Callithrix jacchus: one gene and its partner. The protein of the gene in region 1 purifies or fractionates together with the protein of each later gene. This does not show direct contact. Links are inferred from orthologs where the notes say so. Each region holds a gene or a part of one and is shown on either strand. Other genes may lie near its edges.

The links. Proteins that work in one complex are often made in the same cells at the same time.
Region 2: the proteins of CDK2 (region 1) and SPDYA purify together in Homo sapiens (affinity purification with western blotting; 7 studies listed by BioGRID). This does not show direct contact. The link is inferred for Callithrix jacchus from reciprocal best matches to the Homo sapiens genes CDK2 and SPDYA.

Annotation. Positions count from the first base shown.
Region 1 is NC_133510.1:63,708,567-63,712,521, reverse strand, and holds the start of CDK2 (cyclin-dependent kinase 2), read left to right. Parts: upstream 1-1,155; 5' UTR 1,156-1,390; coding exon 1,391-1,506; intron 1,507-2,232; coding exon 2,233-2,310; intron 2,311-2,422; coding exon 2,423-2,543; intron 2,544-3,150; coding exon 3,151-3,321; intron 3,322-3,844; coding exon 3,845-3,946; intron 3,947-3,955. Other genes in the region: melanocyte protein PMEL, read right to left, coding at 16-91. UniProt on the Homo sapiens protein: Serine/threonine-protein kinase involved in the control of the cell cycle; essential for meiosis, but dispensable for mitosis. Phosphorylates CABLES1, CTNNB1, CDK2AP2, ERCC6, NBN, USP37, p53/TP53, NPM1, CDK7, RB1, BRCA2, MYC, NPAT, EZH2.
Region 2 is NC_133515.1:86,204,626-86,207,746, reverse strand, and holds the end of SPDYA (speedy protein A), read left to right. Parts: intron 1-939; coding exon 940-1,046; 3' UTR 1,047-1,058; intron 1,059-2,513; downstream 2,514-3,121. Other genes in the region: TRMT61B (tRNA (adenine(58)-N(1))-methyltransferase, mitochondrial), read right to left, coding at 2,890-2,933, 3,019-3,096. UniProt on the Homo sapiens protein: Regulates the G1/S phase transition of the cell cycle by binding and activating CDK1 and CDK2.

The sequences.
Region 1 (3,955 bases):
CATATCCGCACATACCTTTTGTAGCCCCCACAGCCAGTAAAGCACCTATCACAGCCAAATGGAGAAAGCACCTTTTCATCACCAGACGCATTGTGTTCTTCCCTCCAGCAACCAAAGACACTGAGGGGCTGGGATAGGCCCCTATATAAGAAAAGGGTGCTCATTTGCATAGCCCTTCCTCTTCTCCTTCAGAGAATGCCTGGGAGGGGCCGGAGGAGAGGAAAAAGAAAAAACAAACTGACAAAGGGAACCTGGGCCCTAGACATTGCTTTCCCATCCTGCTACTCAATGACAGTTTCTGGTTTCACAGGGTCATTCTCATCTTGATACACTCTCGGGCAAGAGCTGACTGAAAGGCAGCTGCATAACACATACCAGACACAACAGTTCATCATGGGAGAGTGAATTAAACCAGGAATTTCTCAAATAGACAGAAACAAGGGCGGGCGCGGTGGTTCGCACCTGTAAGTAATCCCAGCACTTTGGGAGGCTGACGCGGGTGGATCATGAGGTCAGGAGTTCAAGACCAGCCTGGCCAACATGGAGAAACCCCATCTCTACTAAAAATACAAAATTAGCCGGGCATGGTGGCACATGCCTGTAACCCTAGCCACTCGGGAGGCTGAGGCAGGAGAATTGCTAGAACTCGGGAGGCGGAGGTTGCGGTGAGCCGAGATCGCGCCATTGCACTACAGCCTGGGCAACAAGAGGGAAACTCCGTCTCAATAAAAAGGAAACAAAAAGAACCCTGCACCCCAAAACAGAGACAGCGTTGGGGTAGGCTATGAGGCGGAGGCAACGACTCTTCCGAGGCCAAGGAATCCTTTACAACGAGATCCCTGACTTCCTGCTTTTCAAAGGAGGCTCCTGGGCCAGGTGGAATTTAACCTTAAGTCGATACATATTTTCCCCGGGAGTGGTGGAAATAGTGAGTTAGAAATCAAGAAATCCCTACAGACTAGAAACATAGAAACTCGGACCCTAAGCAGGTACTTGGAAAGAGTGTTCAGCCGCCCCACCGGGAAAGAAACTTGTCTAGCCCCCAAGAACCAAACTTGCCTGGGGCGGGGTCATTTGCGGGGAGGAGCTCTGGGCTGCCCCCCCCGCTCTGACGTTGACCAATAAGAAGGTCTGGGGGCGGAGCCAGGGAAACGCGGGAAGGTGGGGCGGGGCCTCTGGTGGCGGTCGGGAACTCTGGGGGAGGCGGCAACATTGTTTCAAGTTGGCCAAATTGACAAGAGCGAGAGGTATACAGCGTTCCATCCCGACGCCGGGCCACGGTACTGGGCCCTGTTTCCCCCTCCTCGGCCTCCGAGAGCTAGGGACCGCCTTCTGCAGGGTTCCCAGGCCCCCGCTCCAGGGCCGGGCAGACCCAACTCGCTGGCGCTTCATGGAGAACTTCCAAAAGGTGGAAAAGATCGGAGAGGGCACGTACGGAGTTGTGTACAAAGCCAGAAACAAGTTGACGGGAGAAGTTGTGGCGCTTAAGAAAATCCGCCTGGACACGTGAGTGGCCTCTGTACCCGGGACTCCTAAGGGGACCTCCTTAACTGTGCCCCCCAACCCCCCACGGGCGGGTAGCGGTCCAGCGACCGGAAGAGAGCAGGGAGGGACTTCTTTAGAAGTAGAGGGGTGGGTTGGGGGCCTGTAGAAGGTGGAGAGTACAGGGTGGTGTAGAATCTATGGAAAACTTTCTTCTCAAACTGAGCCCGATGGCGTCCCCAAATTGTGCGACCACAGAGACTCGGGGAGAGAAAGGAGGCCTCTGAGATGAAGTCCAAGACTCTCCATGGAGTTGAGTTATGTGGGAACAGACGAGTAGCGCCTTTCTGAATGAAGAGCCCTCCTCACTGCCCCACCCTCACCTAAGAATTCTCTCCTCTTTCCAAAGAATGGCAGTTGAACCTCACTGGCCCCTCTGGGGAGGTTGGGTGCTACTCCTGCATTTTTAAATTTATTTTTTATTTTCTCACCCGTTACAGTCTCCCTGCTTTACCTTCACCAGGCAGCTTTACTTACCTACCCCTGGGAAAAGAGGAGATAATGACCTTAATATGTCCAAAAGCCACACCCTGACTACCCAGGAATTAGCTCCTTCCAGCACCCTTTCTCTTCTCTCACTTTCCTAGGGGGTGCTGGGTGGTGCCTCCTTGGGGGAAAGAAATGACTGGGAGGGGGAAAAAGGAGTGTTTGTAACCATATTCCCATCTCTGTTTTCCCAACCTCTCCAAGTGAGACTGAGGGTGTGCCCAGTACTGCCATCCGAGAGATCTCTCTGCTTAAGGAGCTTAACCATCCTAATATTGTCAAGTAAGTATGTGTCTGAGAGTAGATCCAGTTGGAAAGAAGGATGAGTTCTGTCTGTACAGTGTGGCCATTTCTCTCTCTCGCACCTCCATTTCCTTGACCTTTCCTTCTCTAGGCTGCTGGATGTCATTCACACAGAAAATAAACTCTACCTGGTTTTTGAATTTCTGCACCAAGATCTCAAGAAATTCATGGATGCCTCTGCTCTCACTGGCATTCCTCTTCCCCTCATCAAGGTAATGCTTCTCATCAGCTCCCCCCTATCATGGACGTGTCTTGGGGGACTGATGGCAGGCAATTCTGGGTGATATTTTATGATCTTGGCCTTCTTCTGAGCCCTCATCTACTACACACACACACTCCCCTTCTTTTTGTGTCTTCTTCCCTGCTCATTATACTCATTAACTCCAGGGTTGGACTGAAGAATCAAAGTTGAAACTCTAGTGAGTCAACCTAGCAACTCAGGTGGGAGGTCAGATGAAACTCAGATAAATGGGATTTGAGAGCACCTGGTAAATTCCTCCAAAAAGCCCTTCTGTTTGGTGGAAGAACTAGCCAATGAGTCTATTATCTATTTTAGGGCTGGATTCTTCACTCCCAGAGCTACTTTGAATCTATTAACAAACATTTATTCAATGCGCAGCATATAGAAAAGGAATGCAAAGTTGAGTAAGACTTGCTCCTTATCCTCTCTGGGCTGACAGTTTAATGGGAGAAATACCTTGTAAATATGTAATTATAATCCAACGCAGTAAAGGCCTTAGTAGAACCATGGGGGCGCAGAGCAAACCCAATCTGCTCATTGTGGTGAAGAAACACAGTCCTCTCTTTCTCCTTTGTCAGAGCTATCTATTCCAGCTGCTCCAGGGCCTAGCTTTCTGCCATTCTCATCGGGTCCTACACCGAGACCTTAAGCCTCAGAATCTGCTTATAAACACAGAAGGGTCCATCAAGCTAGCAGACTTTGGACTAGCCAGAGCTTTTGGAGTCCCTGTTCGTACTTATACCCATGAGGTGAGTCCCTTTTTGCCTTTCTTCTCTGAGTTTCCCAAGAGGTGTTAACTAGGGCATTCACAAAGTTACTAAAAATATCTGGCCAACAGTTTCTTACTAGGTAGAAGTAATCTCTTGACATCCTAAAGAGTCCTAGGGTATGCATGGAATTCATACTGTGTTGCTAACTGGGCTCACGCCTGTAATACCAACACTTTGGGAGGCTGAGGTGGGATAATCACTTGAGCCCAGGAGTTCGAGACCATCATGGGCAACATAGCAAGACCACTCTCTACAGAAATAAAAAATCAAATAAAATTATGATGACCATTTGTCTCAAGTTTTTCCAGAAAGATCTCAAATTGGGGTTTCAGAAAACATGGTCTCCAGAACTATGGACTGAAAATCAGTGGGAGGGCAAAGATGGAGGGAAGGAAACTGCTTGTTAAGAGGCCAAGAGTTAGCAGAGTAATGCTGAGGAACTGAGATTTGGGACTCTCTGTACCCTATAAACCACCCCACCCTCCCTATTCTTGTCCCTCAGGTGGTCACCCTGTGGTACCGAGCTCCTGAAATCCTCCTGGGCTGCAAATACTACTCCACAGCTGTGGACATCTGGAGCCTGGGCTGCATCTTTGCTGAGATGGTATGGAGG
Region 2 (3,121 bases), on another chromosome or scaffold:
TCTAAAACCAAATAACTTTTCCTCAGAAATAAATCCTTCTTTGAATTTTCTTATTTATTTTTATCATTACCACCATACTAGCCATCCAGGTTGTAGATCTTTACACGTAATGAAGGCATAATCAGGGCATATAAGTTAATAAGGGCTATGCTAAGTATATGATCAACACTGAGGAGCACAAAAGATTTTAGAATTAATTCTGTGGGTGAGAGCTTTGGTGAAGGCTTTTTTATTTTTTATTTATTTTTTTGTGATGGAGTTTCACTCTTTTGCCCAGGCTGGAGTGCAATGGTACGATTTTGGCTCACTACAACCTCTGCCTCCTGGGTTCAAGCGATTCTCTACCTCAGCCTCCTGAGTAGCTGGGATTACAGGAATGTGCCAGCCACCATGCCCAGCAAATTTTGTATTTTTAGTAGAGACGTGGTTTCTCCATGTTTGTTAGGCTGGTCTCGAACTACCGACCTCAGGTGATTTGCCTGCCTCAGCCTCCCAAAGTGCTGGGGTTACAGGCACAATTCACCGTGCCCAGCCCTGGGGAAGGCTTATCAAAGTAATATGTTAGCTGGGCATTGACTGAGTCCTGTTTTGCCCAGAGAATTAAAGGAAGGGGCTTCTGAATACCAGACAGAAGTTTGAAAATACATCTGGTCCTTGACTTACCTATAGTGACTATACCAATTCAGTGGAAAGCTGTATCATAGTCTCTCTTGATGGTGGGCAGAGGCAGTGAGCTGCAGCTTCCAGGCAGCCATGAAATCATGAGAGTAAATGACTTATTTTCAACAGTGTACTTTACTACCAGATGATGTTGCCCAACTGTAGCCTAATATAAGTGTTCTGAGCACATTAAGGTAGTCTAGGCTAAGCTGTGATGTTTGGTGGTGAGCTATATTAAATGCATCTTCTTTAAAAAAAAATTTTTTTTTTTTGAGACAGAGTTTCGCTCTTGTTGCCCAGGCTGGAGTGCAATGGCACAATCTCGGCTCACCACAACTTCTGCCTCCCGGGTTCAAGAGAATCTTCTGCCTCGGCTTCCTGAGTAGCTGGAATTACAGGCATGTGCCACCACACCTGGCTAATTTTGTATTTTTAGTTGAGACTGGTTTTCTCCATTTTGGTCAGGCTAGTCTCGAACTCCTGGCTTCAGTCTCCTAAAATGCTGGGACTACAGGAGTGCGCCACCATGCCCAGCTAATTTTTTTGTATTTTTAGTAGAAACAGGGTTTCACCATATTGACCAGGATGGTCTCGATCTCTTGACCTCGTGATCCACCAGCCTTGGCCTCCCAAAGTGCTGGGATTATAGGCGTGAGCTACCATGCCCGGCCGGCATTACTATTTTAAGGCCCATAAAACAGGCCAGGCATGGTGGCTCATGCCTATAATCCCAGCACTTTGGGAGGTCAAGGCAGGAGGATTGTTTGAACCTAGCAGTTTAGACCAGCGTGGAAAACATGACAAAATCCCATCTCTACCAAAAAACCCACAAAAATTAGCTGGGCATTGTGGCATGTGTCTGTAGTCCAACTACTTGGGAGGCTGAGGTGGGAGGATTACTTGAGCTTGGGAGACTGAGGTGCAATGAGCCATGATCATGCCACCGCACTCCAGCCTGGGTGATGGAATGAGAATCTATCTCAAAAACAAAACATACAAACAAAAAAACCTTTATTACGCACCAACAGCAGAAAAAAATAACCAAAAACCTATAAAACATCCATATTTAAACAGCAACCTAATCATTTTCACTGTTTATCTGTAAAATATGTATAACCTGAAAGATAAGTGAAAAACATACAAAGTTTTCAAAACAATGTATGGTATGTGTTAAATGCTAAATAACTGGTATCTATGAATAATAATAAGTCCTATTTATAATTAATTCATGTTTCTAAAATGCATTCTCCAAACTTTTTTTTTTTTTTTTGAGATGGAGTTTCGCTCTGTCACCCAGGCTGGAGTGCAGCAGCATGATCTTAGCTCACTGCAACCTTCGCCTCCTGGGTTCAAGCAATTATCCTGCTTCAGCTTCCCAATAGCTGGGATTACAGGCGCCCGCCACCACACCCAGCTAATTTTTGTATTTTTTAGTAGAGACAGGGTTTTGCCATGTCAGCCAGGCTAGTCTTGACCTCCTGACCTCAGGTGATCTGCCTGCCTTGTCCTCCCAAAGTGCTGGGATTGCAGGTGTAAGCCACTGCCTGACCCCCAAACACTGATTTATGTAGTAACACTGAACAATGATTATGTTCTTTCAAGCTGGTTAAAAAAATTCTGAAGGGAATAAAATAGATTCAAGAGCTGTTACATCTTTTGTTACAATTTTTAACAAAATTGTAACAAAAGGTGATTATATCATTCTTAAGTTTCCTCCCATTATTTAAGGTGATTATATCATTCTTAAGTTTCCTCCCATTATTTACTGTAACCCAGATTTCCTTATTATTTTGTAAGACATATATATAAGCCATTATAACATATATTTAAAATGGACAGATACATAAAACTTATCTTTAAATGCATATTTTATATTTCAGTAGTCAATGACCATCAATCAAACAAAGGAAAAAAAACTAATTTCTTGAAGAAAGACAAATCTATGGAGTGGTTTACAGGAAGTGAAGAATGAGATGGCTCAACTAAACCAGTCTGGAACCTTTACTACAAAATGTCAAACCAACTGCAAGACAAGTGTCAAATGGGATGTTTAAGCAGTTTTGCCATGTTGTACATCTTTATTTGTTATTTTCAAAATTATATGTAAAAGTTATATAAGTCATAGTAATAGTTAAAAATACCAATCTATGAAAGTGGTCATTTTCAATGTAACAAGTTCTATTTTGATATTTTTCCATCTTTCAAGTCAGTTGCTGTCATCTGGAGTACTCAGTTAAGTTGTGGTTTGACCTTCCTCAACTTGACAAGAAAAGCTAATTTAAGAGAAGAAAAACGTAAAGTCATTATATTAATTAGATGAAAAAACACCATTTAATATGGTCTGAAAACATTACTCACCTGTATGACCAGCTTGCCAGTGTACTGGTCTAGCAATATAGGGACATGATCCATATGGAAAATCAGAATGTGATCCTTCTGTTGTAAAAAATATATGTACTAT